4 linked regions of the Drosophila melanogaster genome follow. The protein of the gene in region 2 interacts with the protein of the main gene of each other region in a pairwise test. Each region holds a gene or a part of one and is shown on either strand. Other genes may lie near its edges. The genes, in order: CG15012, CG31675, CG32987 and CG10165.

The links.
Region 1: the proteins of CG31675 (region 2) and CG15012 interact in a two-hybrid assay, tested with the Drosophila melanogaster proteins (one large-scale study listed by BioGRID).
Region 3: the proteins of CG31675 (region 2) and CG32987 interact in a two-hybrid assay, tested with the Drosophila melanogaster proteins (one large-scale study listed by BioGRID).
Region 4: the proteins of CG31675 (region 2) and CG10165 interact in a two-hybrid assay, tested with the Drosophila melanogaster proteins (one large-scale study listed by BioGRID).

Annotation. Positions count from the first base shown.
Region 1 is NT_037436.4:4,290,512-4,294,641, reverse strand, and holds CG15012 (uncharacterized protein), read left to right. Parts: upstream 1-2,395; 5' UTR 2,396-2,488; coding exon 2,489-2,572; intron 2,573-2,632; coding exon 2,633-2,767; intron 2,768-2,825; coding exon 2,826-2,955; intron 2,956-3,018; coding exon 3,019-3,128; 3' UTR 3,129-3,434; downstream 3,435-4,130. Other genes in the region: dyl (dusky-like), read left to right, coding at 1-120; Fdx2 (ferredoxin 2), read right to left, coding at 1,472-1,811, 1,900-2,018; Hexo1 (hexosaminidase 1), read right to left, coding at 3,463-3,529, 3,592-4,130.
Region 2 is NT_033779.5:20,865,605-20,870,477, reverse strand, and holds CG31675 (uncharacterized protein), read right to left. Parts: upstream 2,724-4,873; 5' UTR 2,333-2,723; coding exon 2,281-2,332; intron 2,128-2,280; coding exon 1,954-2,127; intron 1,362-1,953; coding exon 1,141-1,361; 3' UTR 828-1,140; downstream 1-827. Other genes in the region: CG14401 (uncharacterized protein), read right to left, coding at 131-344; CG9338 (uncharacterized protein), read right to left, coding at 3,334-3,542.
Region 3 is NT_033779.5:8,861,599-8,865,713, reverse strand, and holds CG32987 (uncharacterized protein), read right to left. Parts: upstream 1,904-4,115; 5' UTR 1,860-1,903; coding exon 1,086-1,859; 3' UTR 867-1,085; downstream 1-866. Other genes in the region: CG32988 (uncharacterized protein), read right to left, coding at 43-810; CG32986 (uncharacterized protein), read right to left, coding at 2,035-2,907.
Region 4 is NT_033779.5:19,525,886-19,531,962, reverse strand, and holds CG10165 (uncharacterized protein), read left to right. Parts: upstream 1-1,657; 5' UTR 1,658-1,694; exon of another isoform or gene 1,695-1,773; coding exon of another isoform or gene 1,774-2,869; intron 2,870-2,966; exon of another isoform or gene 2,967-3,017; coding exon of another isoform or gene 3,018-3,185; exon of another isoform or gene 3,186-3,192; intron 3,193-3,593; 5' UTR 3,594-3,710; coding exon 3,711-3,875; intron 3,876-4,009; coding exon 4,010-4,202; intron 4,203-4,257; coding exon 4,258-4,586; 3' UTR 4,587-5,053; downstream 5,054-6,077. Other genes in the region: CG10137 (uncharacterized protein), read right to left, coding at 1-868, 935-1,049, 1,774-2,869, 3,018-3,185, 5,152-5,191; Dpm1 (Dolichyl-phosphate mannosyltransferase subunit 1), read left to right, coding at 5,639-5,742, 5,800-6,010.

The sequences.
Region 1 (4,130 bases), on a different chromosome or scaffold from region 2:
GTGGGCGGATTGGTGATGCTGCTGCTCGTCCTGGCCGTCGCCTCTCTAGTCGCCGCCTTCCTCTTCGTCCGCGTGCGTCACTTCGATCGCAAGGGAGCGGGCATGGCCTATGTGAACTAAGGATCTGAAATCGGGCCAGAGGACCGGACCATCATCACCATCAACAGCGACCGATCGGCGTGAACAGAAAACCAAATCAGTTTTATGTGCACTTCAGAAACACTCATTCCAAACCCATTCCCCATAGGCACCCCCCATCCCATAACTATTTATTCTTTGGTTATTTATTGAGATCCCACAATCCGCCACTTTCAAATGGTTTCCTACTTTACCACTACGCTCTATCCTTCATATGTTTCCCTAGTTTTAGGCAAAGCGAAATTGAATTGTCAGACTTGTTAAGTTTCAGTTATACCTACGCGGGATTTGAGGCCATCTGAACGAACAGATTAGCCTCGAATGTTACAATATGCAAGTTAATAATATCGAGAAAATAAACACAAACGAAGTAATGAAGCGGCAAACATGGAAAGGCAGAAAATCGTTTACAATAAGTTAATATAGCAAATGTATATATTAAATTATTTATTTATTACTTTATTTGATAGCTGCGAAATAATAAAAAGTTTACTTTTATTAAGCGACAAGTGTTTTAATGCGTTCTAATAGTACCTCTGATTATCGGAGCTTGGGAACGACTGATAAGGAAACGCAAACAAAGCTAATGCAAACTTTATCAGTGTGATGAAATGTTTGTGTGGGGGGCTTTGATAACAGCCCTTGTGTTGGCCGTGACTGGAAGTTTTGGTATAAACAAAACAAGTTTGGCAAAACGAATGAATAGAATAAAGAATAATATGGTTCGCATTGTCATACAAGCGAGGCAAATAGGAATATAAAATACGATCATCTTGAATTTGCTAACTAATGATCATAAACCTGTGTTCAAAAGTATACTACACACTTTTATTAGAACTATGATGCCGAGGAAAATCTTTGCGTGTGCCTGTTTATTTGCCGAGCACAACTTCGAGATCATGAATACACGCAGAAAAACACTTTTTAGCTGAGATATTTAAAAAACAAGAATGACCGATTTAAAATCGGCTAGTTTTGCCAATAGAATTAAAAAGGCAAATGAATTATTGGTTAAAAATGATATCTACGCTGGATGCTTTCCTCCACAGTTTCAATAAAACCAAGAGAAGTACGAAAATACATGTAAATTTATTGCAACACACTTATTTACATATTGATCTAATCCCTTTGAGCTTAAACACTTTAAAAACAACAGCGGACGCTAATCCGCAACTGGAATCGGATTAATGCGCGCATCCATTATAGCCGCCTGAGGTTTGTGTCCCTGGGACAATACATACGATTTCGTTCAAAAATATTGACTACATCTAGGTTGAACTAAAGCGAATTAGCACTCAAATTTGTAACAATTGATAACAGTGGTGGTGTCTATCTACGCGGCACGTGCGTCATTGATGGTGGAGGGCACATGTACCTCCAGGCCCTCCATATCCTTGGACAGGGTGATCTGGCAGCCCAGCCGCGAGGTGTCCGTCAGTTCGTACGCCAAATCCAGCATGTCCAGCTCCTCATCACCGGGTTTGTCGGGCAGTTTCTCGAAATCGCTGGTCTTGAAGATCAGGTGGCAGGTGGAGCAGGTCAGCGTGCCCTCACAGGCCCCGAAACCATCCAGATCCACATTGTTGTTGACCACCACGTCCAGCAGGGAGTCACCCACTTTTCCGGACGTCTTAATCTTGTCCCCATTGGCACGCACGAAGGTTATGTTAACACTGCAATAGCGAGATTGGTCAATGTTTACGCTGCTCTGGCGGTGTGGAGCTACCATTGTAGTGCTCGTGGGGTGGAGAAGATACTCACACATCTTTCGTTTTCAGGGCCAATCCCGTCGAGAAAGTACGCGTTGCGATCGGCGATCGCAAATTGAGGCTGCGTAGCGCCAATCTGGAGGCAGCTCTGCATGAGTTTATGACTAGCATTCTGGTTAGGATTCCTTTGCAATCTCTTACTATAACTGACAACACGCACCCACTCGTGTCGCTGCGATCGGTTGTTAAATAATAAGGAAATCAATTAAATTTTGTTAAACGTGAAGTTGTGTGTGACCGTATTGGACTTTCTGAAAAAGACGTCGTGCCTTTAACGTACTAAAAAACAACAACAAACTGCATAAGCAGTAATTTTAAAGTTAAACATTTAAATGTTTGCACAAATTATTGCACAAAATATTTAATTAACAGCAACTTTCTTTTTATAACGGAGTTAATTTGTGTTACACAAAAAGTATATGTTACTGCTGCAGTTCAGGTGTGAACACACTAAATACTGAAACAGGGTTGCTACAGCGAGTGAAGAAACCCTGTATTCACCTGCAGACAGACAACCCTGTGCGTCAAAACAAGAAGATTTAAGAGTGGAATAAATTTAATTACGTTTTAAAACCTAAACAATGGGCGTGTTGGACAATATTGCGTTGCATTTCACGGGGGATGCGTCCAGGAACAGGAACACCTCCATAATAGCCGGACTTCTGGTAGGCTAACACCCGCAAACAAAGAGCCGCCCGCCTGACAGTGCAACTTTTTCTCCTTAGTTTTTCGCAGGATGGTGGGTTCTAATCGATGCCATGTCCATCGACGGCAAGCACCAGATTACCACAGGACACGTCTTCATCGGCATCTTCGGGACCATCAGCTTCTGCATGGTGAACGCAGTGAAGGGAGAACATGTAACACACACTTATCATTGGGCTTAACAAGTGACTCACTTCTTTTGTTTGTGCGCAGATTTCTGATGAGAACTCATCGGAGTCCGGCGCCAGGATAGCGAAGATCTGGCTGCTTGTGGGCTTCCTAATGGGTTTTGCCTCCATCATTGCCGCCATCTGGGTGATGATCGACGACTTCATCAACAATGGTGAGAAATAAACAGATATTTAAGGATTCCTTAGCTGAATTGCACCCACTTATCGTTTTTCAGAAAAGAAGGATGGCTGGTTTGGCGTGGCTCTGCTGATGCAAAACGTCTTCATCCTGTTCGCCAGTTTGGTCTACAAGTTTGGACGCAACGAGGAAGAGTGGAATGAGTAAAGCTTCCATTCAAATTATTGCACAAGGGAACGCAGCTTTTAGTATCTAGACTCATTACGTACATAATCAGGAGTCCAAGGAGTTTATGCTTGAGGCCGAGGACACCATCACTCGCAAATCCTCACCCCACACATTGAAGCGTAAAATGTCCAACTCTGCTACTGTTCATATTCGAAAAAATCGTCGAGTCTGTACGGATTTCCCTCACTATTTCCGACATTCTGCCGCTTTGAATCGGAAAAGGGCGCAGAGCAGGGCCAATAATCTCATTTATATTTAACAAAATAAACGACAAGTCACTTGCGTAAGGCCACCTTTGAGCTGTACTTTATTTTCAGGCAGAGAGCGTTGTGAGAAGCAACAGGACGATCAACCCAAGCCGCCCGCTGCCCCGACTACATCTACAAGGATAGCGACCGTTAAGAGAAATGGTTTAATAGCTGGTCAAACTTGTGCATCGTACGCGTCAATGGGACACTCGTGCTCGTTTTGCAGGCACCACTGCGGCTGCATGGCCTCTGCGCCCAGACCATTGTCCACCAGTCGCTGGCGGTGGAGCAGCAGACGTGACTCCGCCTGGCGCCAACCTTCGGCAGGATTTGACCAAAGTCGTTCGGCCAGGGCACTGGCCCTGGGCCAGAAGCGGTTGTCCAGTGTGTGCTCGTCGATCTGCTCTGACCAAATGGCTCCCTCCGCGCCCAATACATGATGCTCGTAGTCGCCGGCAATGGATTTCAAACTATTGTCGTACACCTTCTGCCAGCCAATGTAGGGGGAGCACCAGTTGTTTCCATCGGTCACCCAGCCAGCTCCGCCGCAATCCAAGTACAGGGCATCGTAGTTGGACACAATGATCTTGTAGCCCCGCTCCAGAATCTTCTTTACCTTCGGATCTACACCAGTGGTCCAGATCTGAATGATGTAACGCTCTGGGTTCAGATACTCGTCAATGAAGGGCTCCTCAGTGAGTCCACTAGTCCACAGAATGATGGGCGTGTGCGT
Region 2 (4,873 bases):
ATGTTCCAAAACGTTAATTTCTTTTCAGATGTAAGTTAATTAAAATTTGTAATATAATTCTTGAACTTTTTAGACTCTATACGTAAACAATGAAATAAACAAAGAAAGCTGTTTATATGTTTTTCTTTACTGAACAGTTTCCCGCAAAACAGTCGGTAAAACCCTAAATTCACTGATTCGCAATAAATCGTGTTGACAGTCTTCTGCTTCTGAGATATTTCAAAATATGAACTACAATTTCGGGGCAGGAATGTGATGAGTGGCGGGCGCGAATCGAGAATCTCACCTGAGCTGGCCAGCGTGACGAGCAGAAAGAGCGAGGCAAGCGCTGCCATCATCGCCATCGTACCGCCCCCGAAAACAGTTGATTCCACTGTCGTCCGGCGGTCGCGGTGAGTCAGTATGGCTATAGCTATAGCTTGGCGATGCCGATACGTGCGCGAATACAGATGTTGTCTTCTCGGTTGCCGGACCGATTTTAATCACATGATAGATGCGCTATATAGCCACAAGCCGCCGACCAACGACCACCGACCACCGACCACCGACCACCGACTCGAAGCGATGCACACACGCGACTGAACTAAACAGAAACTGAACTGAACGTGCGAACAATCGCATTCAGAATGTGAATTTGATTTTCATAACAGATTTTTTCACATTTTCACTTCTCCATCGTTGGCTTTTCCCTGGCCAATGCGTGTTGACATCGTGCTCTGCCTTGCCCTACCCTGCCCTGCCATTCCCTTTGCCCTTTCCTCGCCAATCCATTTATTTCAGGCAAGGTTCATTAGTGGCATTTGAACAAATAAACAATTTGGCATTCTGTGTAAAATTAGTTTTTATTAGTTTGTATTTGGATCGTTCGAAATTTGTTTGCCAGCTTTTCGGCTCATTTCGGTGTGCTGATGTTGCTCATACGCCATGTTCGGCGTTGATTAGCCATTAATACAGTGGGCCGGGCAGATTTGGCTAAACGGTTTTGTGGATGGTGTGCTCTACTAATGTGGGCTTTACTAATTGATAGTCCTGGGCCTTGGGAATACATCTAAATTGAACTAGGTTTACTTAAGCTACTGTGCCTTTTAATGTTCATTTCACGCTCCACATTTCCACATTTCCACTTCGTCTCCTGTCGCCTCAGAGTAGTTGAGTTGCCAAGAGAAACAAGACCAGACTGCCGAAGATTTTCCATTTATCCACTGGATGATTTTCCGATCCGTTGCAGTAGTTCTCGCTGTCGCACACATGACAACTTGAGTTCTGCACCGCCGACAGGGTGGGGTCCATTTTGCACCACACATCGGTGGCATTTACCTCGCCGAAGTAGCAGCCTCTGACGATCTTACGCACGCCGTTTTCTGCAGAGGCAAAACATTGGGTTAGTCTACTTTCGGGCTGACTTATCGTAAATAAACACATTTTTTATTGTCCGTCTTTAATGGGCTTATACGAAATGTGTACGTATTGTCCAAAATATCAAGAGATTGTTGGAAAGTCTACGAGATTCTTCTGAAATAAGGTCACAGCTGTCCGTATATGCACGTATGTCTATGAATGTATGTATGACTGTTTCACATAATTAATTTTATTTGTTTTGATTTGCGTCACAAATCATTAAAGAAATTATTATCTGAAGAGTAAATACAAATCTCGGACGGACAACATTGCGAATGTTTAATGAGTATACAGACATTTACCTTTCGGAACACACTTTTTTTGTCCGCTGCTAATCGGACTGTATTTGTAATTAATGAACAATTACTTTAAAAAAATATCTGGTGGATAGATACATTTTTGGTGAATTACGATATATCCACTTTTTAATCTTATATTTCAAACTTTCTTTTCTTTTTACTATACCTATTGATTCATAACTATTAAAGTTACTATCCTAGCAAGGCTTCAAATCCGTAGGAACGTGTTTTGAGAAACATATTCGTTTAAACTCACCCTTGAATACCCGTTTCAAACAGGCCGTGGCATTCACGCTGAGCAGATCGTTCTCCAGGAATCGCGGAGGAGCAATGAAGGCGCAGTCGTATTTAAAATGGTTCTCGACTTCGAAGTCGTCGCCGCAACTAGCCTCGTAGACGGATTCGCAGGCATAGCACTTGATGGCGTAAGCTAGTGGCATTGGGATGGGAAGACCAGAGACGCGTCTTATTTATGGCAGAAATGAGATCAGGCGGGGACAGCCGACAGGTCGCGGCAAACGCAGAACTCGCAAAGCAAAGTACAAATTCGAAAGAAACAAGTCCAAACAGAACAAAAACAAACCTGAGGCCAGTAGCGAGATGAGCGCGCCAAACAAAAGTAAATAATGCTGCATTGTTGATGGGAGGAAAATCGGTTTGCCACCTTTCTCGCTGGTGATTGGAATTTGTTGTATTTGATGGTTTTATGGAAAATAATTCAAGTGGCGGGCTTATTTATAGCTCTGCTCGGCGCAATTGAAACGATCCGCACGAGGTTTGAACATACAAAACTGTATGTTTTGTATAAGCAAATATAGTATATATTTTGAATATAAATAAATGTGTGTTTTCAACTATATAAATGACTTTTATTTTATATTTATTTGGGTCTCAGCACGTAGGAAATAAAAATGTAAACACGCGTTGCCAATTTTCCCTCAGTTTTGTTTTTTGATTTTCCCCGATTTCCCGGCTAAATTCTTGGAGCCGTCTGTCAGTCGACGTCCGCACACGAAATCGAACTAAAAGAATGCCAAAAGCATTTTCCAAATTCAACTCCTTGCCGTTTTTCTCTTTTCCGTTTATCGCTCTCTTTTTTCTGTGGTGAAAACATTTTATGGCCATTTCGCCTGGCGTCATCGCTCAGCGTTTTAATTTGTCTAAATTTAATGAACATTTAGCGGGTGGAGACTTGACGCGCCGAACTTATAGCGACCCTGTGGGAAATGGAAATGGAAAAGGAAAACTGGGAGTGTATGGTCGAAGCGAGTAAAATCACAGAGAGAACTTTTCCGCTTTTCCGTCTGTTCGTATAATCGTCAGCCCAGCATATAGAGAGCCCTGCAGAAGAGACGTAGATTGGATGGGGCCAGTTCTTGAAGTGTGCCAGACACGCATGGATTTTCTGCTTGCCCAACTGGAAGGCTATCAGTTAAAGCTAGCAATTAATCTACGAATAACCATAAAATATCTTCACATAAATAAAGCGACATTTAATGTGGGCGAAAACAGTTTAAAAGGGTGTAACAATTACAAGAGATTCAAAGGTGACTAAAGCAGCTCCATGGGTCTGGCTTCCCAACAGCAAGTTCGATATGTTTGGGATAGCTCAGCGGTACTACAAACTGCTCCTCGTTCAGGCTAGCAGACGGGCCAGGCCAAAGAACAGGAGTATGACTCCGGCGATGGGGGCCAGGGAGGAGGTTCCGTTGCACTCGTCCTCGGTGCAAACCTCGCAGCTCAGCAACTTGTTGATCGTCAGGCTGGGATCGGTCTGGCATCCAACCTTCGTGTCGGCGATGTTGCCAAAGTAGCAGGACCTCACGATTTGCGGGTTACCGGGAACTGCAAGTAAACATTTTAGAAGTTGGTACAAATTATTTGGTTAAGTGTAAATGGAAATGCTTTGTCGGTTGTTATTCTTTTTGATATATTATAAATTCAAATCATATATTCGGCAATTAGATTCAGAAATTACGACATTAAAGCGTGCTGTGTGTTCTAATGTGTTCGGAGATAAATGTATAGAGAAATATTCAAAAATTCTCATTTTTAGACTTTCTCTGATACTCAATTCTATTTGTATGCAGCTTTTTCAAACTATAAAGTATATTCTGACTTTAAGTGTGTTTCCTTTAAATAAATAATATTTTTTTGGTCAGACTATTCAGGTTTTTACATTCGGACAATGATATTTAAATCCAAAAATTACAAATTGTAATCATTAAAATAAATCCATAATTATTATTAATTCCCTATGTATATCTCACAAAAGGTAGAACACATTTAAAGTTCTAATATAGATGTGACGAACTTTTGAGCTGAATGGGATGCCAATTGTCTGGTGTTTAATTAAAACTGACGATGATGTATTCAATAAAACGCAAGACGTGGTCGAATGTTAATGTAATTAGCAAACAATTGACTGAGGCGATGTTGCGGTCACCGAACATAAATAATTCCGTAGCAAAAGTGAATGGGGTCCAATTATTCTCAATACCATATAGCCCTAGGGAGTATTTATGCTTGGGAATCGCTGGACAATCAAGTAAATTGTGAACAAATCACTTAAAAAGGTACTGCTGCGTTTATGTCCATTGTCATGATGCATTTTTAATGAAGGGCACATATTGCTGTGGGACAGCGACTAATCTCCGTTGTGAGATTAACGCACTTGCCTGTGAGCAAACGCACTTTATCATTATAGTATAATAAATGAGGAAGTACATATATACAATAGATATTGTTTTTATACATGTAAGATAGTCAGTACAGTCTACCTTATCTGAACCTTCTTCTCATATTTATGAGTATGCCCCATTCATCATATGTGGTTCCTTCCATGGTCTACACACGATATGCATATATATATTTAATTCCAATAGCAAGTCGCTGATCTTGAACAGTTCTAAATATATTTCGATGCTAAACGCCTAGATTCTCTCATTCTCTTTCATTAAGAAGTGTCAGAGGTATATTCTATTAATTAATTTGTTTTGAACAAATATTTCTTGTTATTTCGTTGCTTTAGAATCAATCATATTTTCAGGTAAGAGTGAAAACTCAATTATTCTCATTGTGAGCACTAAGACCCAGTTAATTTATCAACCTAAATTGCTTAAATGGGGATGGTTTCGCGTGGGCAATCGATACGATGAGATCATGGCTATGGCCGA
Region 3 (4,115 bases), about 12 Mb from region 2:
ATTTCTAGGCTATTTGCACATCAGCCTCAACATATTTTTTATTCAACTATTAACTAGCTTATAGTACAGGGCAAAAACGAGCATGCAGGAGAGTAGAAAAATAAAGTGTAGGTAAATGCCATTGGCGCAATCCGCAGTCTCCCCATAAGGCACCTGCTGCAGCCTTCCACAAATGAAACGAGCCTGAAATGGAGCCATGAATGCGATCAGGATGACGAACACTATGGCAAGTGCCAGGAGATACCGCATATCATTGATGATCAGGAAGAGTATTAGCAGGACGATCATGGTGACGGTGAGCAGCAGAAAAATGCAGCAAGTACAGATAATGTTGGGTAGCAGAACCTCCGGACTTTTGGCCCCATACAAATGCAGCAGGGCCAGCAGGGATCCGGCAACCAAAATGGCAATCAAAAGGACCCAGACGCGCACTAGATGCATATAATACGCTCCGAACAGGGTGAGAAAGAACAAGGATCCCAGCACCAATCCCCAGCATAACAAGGTCAATGCTGGAGTCTGTGCGATGCAGCCGAGCACTGAGAGAATGATGAAAGCTAATATCAGCCAAACGAACGGCGGCACTGGAATTGCCTTGTAGACCCTCACAGCGAGTGCCGACAGTATGATCCACGAAATGGAAGACAGCAGGCACAGCACTACGGAGGATAGGTACACCCGGAAGATGAAGGCCCGCAACTCCCGCTCGTTGATGACTAAGACCTCCGGTCCCTCCGCAGGAACTGGCTCGCCACCAGGTCTTCCGGTTCTAAGGCCATAACGACCCCAACCCCGATTGCGATTATTCATGTGTTAATCAATTATTTTAGGTCAATATAATGTAATTTTGAAGAAAAAAGCAAAGTAAGTGATTCATTTTCTCTTATATTGAGACTAGGACTTTTCATAATACTCTGGCTTTATTCTAATTGCCTTGCAATGAGAATATATTTATATTTTCTGTACCGCCTAGGCTACACCGCACTAAGTAATTAGACTGGATGACAGTATCCTTTGGTCTGGAACACCATAGTAACTTGCCAGATCGCTAATCAGTTTCGATCACACAGTGACAGCTATTTCTCTCAATCAAAATCATTTTCGAGTGAAATTTTCGGAGCTTCAGATGTTTGTCTGATGGCCTCCTTTCTCTCGTCGACCAGGATGAAGTAGCACACGCAGAAGAAGAACATCATTGAATGCAAGTATAAAGTCAGGGTGCAGACCATGAGGTGCTCTTCGGGAACCACTTCCACGACGTTCAGACGGCCATGGTTGAACTGCGCCTGAATGGGGATCGCTATGATCAGCATCAGGAACAGAATGCTGACGAAGGTGTCGAGCAGCTCAACACTCCCGGTGCAGAGCTGGACGATTCCCACAATGGTCAAGACCAACAGCAGTGCCATCATCAGCAGCGTGGAGCAAACACCGCCGGGCAGGAACTCCTGCGGGCACATGGCCCCAGAGAAGTTGAGTAACATAATGATCAGGGCCACGCCGATCATCACGAAACTGATAATGAGCGGGCTCAAGTCGTGGATGAAATGGCAGCCAAACAAGGTGGTACACACAACCACCAGACCTGTCATGAACCACTTACAGGGAGAGTAGTAGGATATTCTCGGGATACAATGCATGCATATCATCACCAGAAAAATTATTAGAGCCAGGACGTAGCAGGGAAACGGAAGGTACCTCTGCAGGTGAATATGGGTCAGCATGAGCAGAATCCATGCGCCCACCGTAATTCCGATAAGGATCAGGCCAATGTTATAGATGCTGCGGATGAACTGGGTCATTGGGTCCAGCTGCTCGATCGTCGGCCGGATGTTGTCCTGGTGGTAAATGTTGTCCATCCCGTTAAAAATCCTTATGGACCGAGTGTTAAGACTAGGTCTGGCCTGCACCCTGACACTTACCTCCTGGCAAAGCTGCTCACCTTCTATATCTTTTATTTACAAATTGGTATCTTTTCTCATTAAAGCCTTCTTTTTATTTTACACGGACACGTTAAATTAACTCCTATAACTCTCACCATTTGGGAGCCCAGATGACAAAGTAAAAGGCCGCAAAGAACAACAGAAAGTGCAGATAGATGTTGACGGCGCAAATAACGAATTCGTAATCGGGCAGCTGGAATCGCCTGGAATGAACCACCTGAGCATGGTAAACGGATGCGGGTATTAGCAAAGTGGCCAATAACGTGAAGTACACCAACTGGTAGATCCAATTGTCTGTGAAGATATACATGGTCATCACAAAGATTGAGGACATCACGAAAATGACGAGCAGGAGGAACATGGTCCTCTCTCCGGGGAGGATGATCTTGGGTATCCATGCGCCAGCGAAATAGCATATCACAGTCATGGCGGAGGCCACCAGAAGGGCAATGCACACGCGGGAAAGGTTCCGCTCCAGGAGAAGCAGAATAACGCCCAAACCTGCCAGACTTACAAACAACCCGGCCATGATGAAACTATACCAATAAAAACTCCGCAACTTGGTCAAAATACAGAAGACAAAGAGAAACATTAGGGACACCATTGCACTTATGAATCCTGCCATTATAAGATCTGCCTCCGGAGGAATTACCTTGGACAGGATTATGGCAAGGATCGCAGTTGTAGTCGAAAACAATCCAGCCATCATGTAGCAGCGCCGCACAAATATTATTTTCGACGAGTCGCCATTTCCGTTGTCCAGTCCTCTGGAGCCTTCGCCTTCCACAACCGAACGTCGTGCCCTTAATCTACGGGGTGCTAAGCGAAGCTGGTGTATCGAAGGATGCTCGTATCGAACCAAAGTTCCAGGAGCCTGCTCTTGCTGCTGTGGCAAAGGAAAGTTGAGAAGCTGGAGGGCTGGTGGATAGATGACCCAGTCATTTCTTAAACTGCCTCCTAACATTGGGAGCACTTAGAGGGCAACCACTTAAAATTTTGACAAAATATTTATGGCACACCCTGATTGGGTACGAAGACATCCCTAAAAACATAAACAATACTAATACTACTAAAAATTACTAATAGCCAAAATAATACATAGCCTGTAAATCTGATTTAAGAACTGGAAATATTTATATACACCGTATATATATAACAATTATCCTAAGATTAAGATTCGCGGAAGAGATAATTACGGTGACTTACCGAATGCGATGGCATGCATAAATATTTAACATTTTATAAATCTAAGCAGTATTATTCCGTTCGATCAGGGCGGAAAACTCAGCGAGGCATGCGGAATTCCAAGGGGACTACAAAGCCTGCAAGGAAAATGCTAAGTAGCTCCGATCAAAGCTAACAAAACAGCCACAAAGGATGCTTACTCCTTTCCCCTGCCTGCATTGTTTGTTGTTGTTTTGCTGATCGCTTGAGTGACACGCAAAGCAAAGGATACAAGGATACACTGGAGTAGAAAGGCGATCCCGAGATGTGTTTACTGCCGCATCTGCGGCCTCGATCACAATCACTTTCACAGACGGTTGATGCTTGATGGTTGACGGTTGGACGGCATTGTTCCGGCTATGACTCAATCTCAATCAGCTGGCTACGCTTATCCTTGATCCCCGCTAAAGACATGCAAATGCCAAGGCAGCAGGCGATCGGGGAGAATGTCAGTTATCTGGCAGCTGCAGCTCAATGCAATAGATACGCTTGCAGTCGAAGGAGTATAACCCTTGAGTTGCCAATCAAGTCGTTAGCTCGCCTGCTCCTCATGATTGGATTATTGAGTTGGTAAAAAGTGAATACCTTTCGGAAATTGAAAATCAAGTAGCGGATGTCAGTATTAGGATTAGATTCTATTTTCTCTGCAAATTTATAAAACATTTTTAAAGCTAAAAAGAGCAACTAATTTAAAATAACTCATACGACTTGTTTATTGATCTTTCTCTTGCAGATTTCGGCCTTGGGCCACATACATATATATGGACTATTTACTATTCTACAATGGCCCCTTCAGGGCAGGTCAATGTACCATGGTATAACATTTTCGGCTTATATTTTCCACCCACACAACGCTGACAACGATGAAAGGGCCAACGACGAGAGGTCGGGAGGAAAGTGAAAGCGTTGGCAAGTGCTTGACAACAACGACATGCGAGCGTATGCAGT
Region 4 (6,077 bases), 1.3 Mb from region 2:
GGCCTAGGTTATGACCACTGCGGCTATTCATCAGTCGAGAGGCATCTGAGCTGGTGGACGCCTTATCCGCCGGCGGTGTTGCCGCATCGCCCGAGCTGTGACCCCCGCCATACTTGCTAGCCTCCAGCAGCTCCTGCTTGCGGTCCAGATCCAACTTGTCAAATTCGGTGAAGAGTTGGCGGTACAAGAGATTGCGACGCGTGATGTCGTCATCCGGAGGTAACTGCTTGCGCACCAGTCGGGGATTCACCTTGTAGACGAGCAGCAGGATGCGCTCGGCCACCTTTCGCACAGGCTCCGCTGGATGATGGATGCCGGAGCAGCCGCACTCGGACAATGCCCTGCAGGTGAGTCCACTATGCTTGTCCGTGCTAATGCCCTGAGTGTTGACCAGCTGCTCCAGCATCTGCAGCCGACTCATTGCCAGTCGCTGGTGGGTTCCGGATCCAACGCTTCGTGATAGTGCTGGCGCAACCAGGTGCTGCTCCGCCACCTCCGGACAGGCGGCGATGCTTAGGATCGTGTGCTGGGCCAGAGTGTGCAATCGAGCAGATGGATCGCCGGACTTGGCCAGCAATTCGGGCAGCAGGCGGTCCACGCAACGTGCCACCTCGTTGGGGGAAACTCGACCGGGCACATACTCTAGGAACAGCATGCGTACCGTCTCAGTAGCTTGGCTAAACACGGAGTAAACGGCATCTCTTACAGCGCGATGCAGCAGAAGGGCGGCGCTGCGGGCCACTTTGTTGGGACTGGCAGCGTGCTCGTTGCTCGACGCCTCTAACAGGTCGTGCTCCTTTAGGAAGTTACGCAGACGCATCAAGCCATCCTCGCGGTCCTGAAACTGACGCGAATAGAACTGCTCCACCTGGGAATATACATATGTAGGGCACGTATTGAATATGTTATCTATTGGATTTAATGGGGGACTCACCAGCTCATTGCCGAAGACCAGGATGGGAAGCGCTGCCTGGCGACGCTCGCGGTCGTTCAGGCGCGAACGCCCACGGTTCGGATCCGCTTCCAGTAGCGCGTTGCCTTGGCACTCCCTTAAAAATTCATTAGTATTTGAACTGTGAGCGGTTTGTGTTTGTTGTATCGGAATGGCAACGTTTACGGATGCGGTTACAATATACATATAGGAGTAGAAAGGTAAGTACGATTAAAGGTAAATCTAACAACATGTTACTTTCAAATGCGTTCAAATAACGCCTAATTTAAAGTTTTGTGTATAGTTTCGAAATTTCATTATATGAAATTAACTATGAAACCGTTCAAACTATTTTTAATCTTTTATAAAAGTTTCTAAGTTGTTAATAAAAACATAAATACTTTTCTCTAAAAGCAAATTTTAAATACTTTTTAAAATATCTAAAAGCAAAATTTCTGTCAAAAAGCCTAACATTTAAAAGTATCTCAAAAATACCTAATTTCAATATATAAAGAATTTTTGCTTTTGCTTTAAAAAGATAAATCCTTTTCATGTGTTTAGAGCAGATAAAACGGCTTTACTTAAAATTAAGCTAATAGATTCTCTTTCGTTCTTTGAAATTCTGGGCGAGCGTTAAATCTTAAATTAAAAAAAGTAACGGGTGTTGTTTCTAACGGTCGCTAGTGTTGACAAACATTCAAACTAAGAGTACCGGTTATCATGCAACACTGTAATAGACAGCTGTTTCCAGTAAACAAACGAAGTAATTACTATTCCACAATTGTTTACGTATTCACTAGACACCCAGACAACGATTACGACTCTCTACGCCCGCTACTCACTGTCGCAGCGTGGGAATGGCCCGCTCCTCGTAGTCTTCGTAGGAGTTTCGTGGAACGCTCTTGTTGCGCCTGCGCAGCGATCCCTGTCGGCTGGACATTGGTGAGCTGTGCCTTGAAGGCAGACGTGGCGACTGCGGCAGCTCGTCGTGGGACTTGCGCCAGCCCCCCAGCGTGGGAGTGGGCGTGGCCTGCAAAGAGGTGGGCGCAGGAGCGGGTGCTGGAGCAGGTGCCGGAGCTGTCAACGTATTGTCGTTACCAGGCTGGGAGCCATCGGTCGAGGATTTGTCCTCTAAGCTGAGACTCGTCATGCTCTTGGGACTGAAGGTGGCTTCCGCAAGTGCCTGTGCCACATCCTGCAGGCTAGGAGCCGATGGCAGACTGGGCTTCCCACCCGCATAGATCTCGCAGCTTTGGTCATTGGAGCTTAAGGTCACACCCTGCGGTTCCAGAAGCTGATGCACCTGCAATTGTCGAAGTACTGCCGCCCGGTACATCTCGATCTGCTCCTTGCGTAGCCTGGCCGTGGTAAAGTCCTCCTGCTGAACAGCCTGCCTCTTGGCCAGAGCATAGCGCCCCAAACGTTCTCCGGCAGTCCTTAAAGCTGTCATGCATAGCTTCAGTTTGCGGGCGTACTCGAATCTTTCTGAGTTAACGGCCAAAATCTTTCGCTGTTCCAACTCTCGGATGGTCTGCACTATTGACTCCTCCACATACATGGAGAAAAGCAGGTCATCACAGACGGAGGCCAGGGCCAGTTCTCCGGTGGCCGTGTCCAACGGTGGGGCCTCGTTGGCCAAGTGCTCCTCTCCGTTGCCATTATTTGGCCCCACTTCCAGATCCTCGCCCAGGACATTTACCGCTAGTAGGGAAATCTGGCCTGTGTCATTGTAGTCGTTTCCTTGGACGCCAATCAGACGCAGCTTAAGATGTGTGCCCCTACGTGGACACACGGTTACGCTCTGCAGCTCCCGAGACTTGTAGTTCGTGTTGGCATTATCCGCCAGGGCAACAAAACCCAAAAAGTCAAAGTACTGCGAGGATGGAGTGCTGGGCAGGGATTTGGGCGAGTAGTGCAGCCAGAGTTCTACTTTCTCAGCTAAACGAAAAAACAACACATTATAGGGAATACTCAAGCTGTTTGTTTATATGTTCATCTTTGATCATACTAAAGATCAGGCATTGATTATTTCTAGGTACTTATTAGGCTTGTAGCCAATTCCAATTAACTTAGCACATTAACTTACGTATAAGATACTGGTGTGCCAGGAGCTGGATGCGATAGATCTTGGCCGGCTGCTGGAATCGGAGGATGATGTCATGTGAGGTGAGGCTGCCGTTCGGAGCACTTCGCCATCCGTGAACTGTGGGGCCGTGATTGTTTAACTCGCTAGCCGGAAAGTTAACATCCTCGTCTGAAAGGCAAGCGAAACGATCCAATCATCATTACTTTCATGACGTTATAACCTATGTATAGGTGGCGCAGGCCATTATGACTCTCTTAATAAGTCTCTTTTTCGCACACTCAGCTAAATAGTTGCACATGATAACGATATCGGACTATGTTTCGTTCTCTTTCGGTTGCTAAGCTAACAGCAGCGGTCAAAACGAAAGCTAGCATTCAAGCGTGCCCAAAATAATAAGCCTTAAAATCTATTAAATATTCAGAAACAGGTTATCAGTTATATATGCGATGAAACGTATAAAATGGAAAGCATAAACAAAAACATTTGAGTTACTTTAAGAATTCTCAACTATCACTATTTATTCGAACGCAGCTGTACGAGTACAAACGAATCTAACTTGTTGTTCTCTATCCTCAGGTTCCACGCTCTTCTCTTCTATATTTAAGCGATGTCGATGTTAACATGCTAGTTTAGTCGTCGCTCAGCCGTTCGTGTTTTGTTACTGAATCAGATAGTATTATTGAATCTTTTGAAATGGCGGAGGGTTACACGAAAGCCACTGCCTGGCTGCAAATCCACAGCCTGCTGAATAGCATCAACCACATTCTGATCTTTCTGGTGGCCGTCTTCTTTTTCATACTGGCGCGCAGTCTGGAGTTCAAGGATACCGCCATGCATATGTTTATGACCGGGACTGGAGTGAGTACACGGCGATAAGCACTTGGCCACAAAATCAATAGTGTTAGATCGACCTGGATAACACGGACATGCAACGTCACTTGTTATCTTATCGAACTGGAGCTGAATTAAAAGGCTTTTCTTGCTCTCGACAGTTCCACGTCCTTATCGCCCAGGCCATGATGTCGCATTCGAAAGTGAACCCGCTCACCCGTTGGCTGTCGCACCGAAACAAGTCGCGCTTCCACGCCATCCTGCAGATTGTGGGTGGCTCCATGGTGCTGTTGGGCTCCCTGGGTAAATTTTCCAGCAAGGAGGTGCACTTTAACACCTGGCACGGCCGAGTGGGTGAGTAAATAATTAGGTTAATTCAGGAAAACCGATTAAAGCTGACATTTTGCAGGGGGAGCTGCTTCCTTTTTCTGCGCGGCCAGCATTGTAGGCGGTTTTGTCAACTATTTCCAGCCCAAGTTCGCCCTGAAAGTAATGCCTCCATCAGAGCTTCGCTTCCGCCATAATCTATTTGGATTGGTCACCTTTAGTCTGGGAATGGGCGCCATTTACCTGGGCTACTATTCGAAATTCTTTACCAAGTATGTGGATACTGACTTTATTCCCGGCATGATGCTGATTACCGGCATTGTTTATGGACTCACCATTATCGCGCCGGTGTCATCGCTTCTAACTAAACTTAAGTATCGGTCCAAAAAGAAGGCGGAGCAGGCCCAGTAGGTGATACTGGGGAGGATGAGGCTGAGGCCATCGAGGCTAACCAAAATTTGTCAGGTCCTAGCATGAAAATAAAGAGCTTGGCGTTTGGCCAAATTTAAATCTCTGGCCGCAACTCAAATTGCACATGCAGACACAAAAAGAGTCGACAACCCGGCAGTCTGACAATATTATAATGAAATATTACAGTCATCGTGGTTGCAGTGGTTTTAGGACGTGGTAAATTGGCCGAGACTTTGGAAAATTGATTTAGCATCCTGGCCATATTTAAATCGGACTATTGCCAGCTGATTAGCTGCAATTAAAAAGGCAGCGCCAGTCTATTTTAAATTCCAACGTCCTGGCGCACTAGGCGTATGCGTGATTTATCGATTTCTCAAGTGCAGCGAATTTTAAAGGAAGAAAGGGAGGTGGAAGACGTTTAGCTCTCAGCCAAATCCTGTCGCAACTAAAAATGCAATTAAGAACATAAAAAACACACAAAATAAAGCAAACAAATAAGAAAACTATAAATAATAAAAATCTTTCTGCAGCTTTCAGTTCATAATATATCCGAAGTTTTGTTTACCTGAGGCGAACACCACGTTAAAAGGTATTTTCTTAGCCATGTTGACGTCGCGCCGTCAAAAGCGCACTACTTTGCCACTTTTATTCGCTAATCCGCACATAAAGTGAGCACTTATTCTTAAAGCGGCCGTTCGCGAACTGTGTGACCGCACAATTTTTTATGATTTTTACCCTTGTGCTCTGGAAAGTATACTATAAAACTTTATTCGGCTGGGCGAATATACCAAAAACATACATCATCTACATAGAATGTTATTTGTTCAGCTTTATATTAAAGTCAATATTTTGTCAAATTAGATATTTTAATATCATTTATTTAACACATTTAAATTTACATTTGGAATTCGATACGTTTTAGCCACTATCTAACTATCTAGCCACTATCGACTTCGCTATCGATTCGAGCCAGCTGTTTTGTATTATTGAATTGACCAACACTCTTGTAGTTTTAATTGAAATTATTTACACGGTTCTTGAGAACAATTACAATGCCAACAAATGGCCATAAATACAGCATTTTGATGCCCACTTACAATGAAAAGGATAATTTGCCCATTATAATATGGCTAATTGTGAAATACATGAAGGCGAGGTGAGTAGCGGCTGCTCTAAGGTGCAAATTCAGGTATTAATTGCTCCCCCTTTGCAGCGGCTTGGAATACGAGGTGATTGTGATTGATGATGGTAGTCCGGATGGAACACTAGACGTGGCCAAAGACCTGCAGAAGATCTACGGGGAGGACAAGATTGTGCTGAGACCACGTGGCTCCAAATTGGGACTCGGAACGGCCTACATACATGGCATCAAACATGCCACCGGCGACTTTATAGTTATCATCGATGCGGACTTGAGTCATCATGTGAGTCTAGATAACAGGGTTAAACTAATAATAAGATAAACTAATAAGCTATATTTTTTCCGCTTCA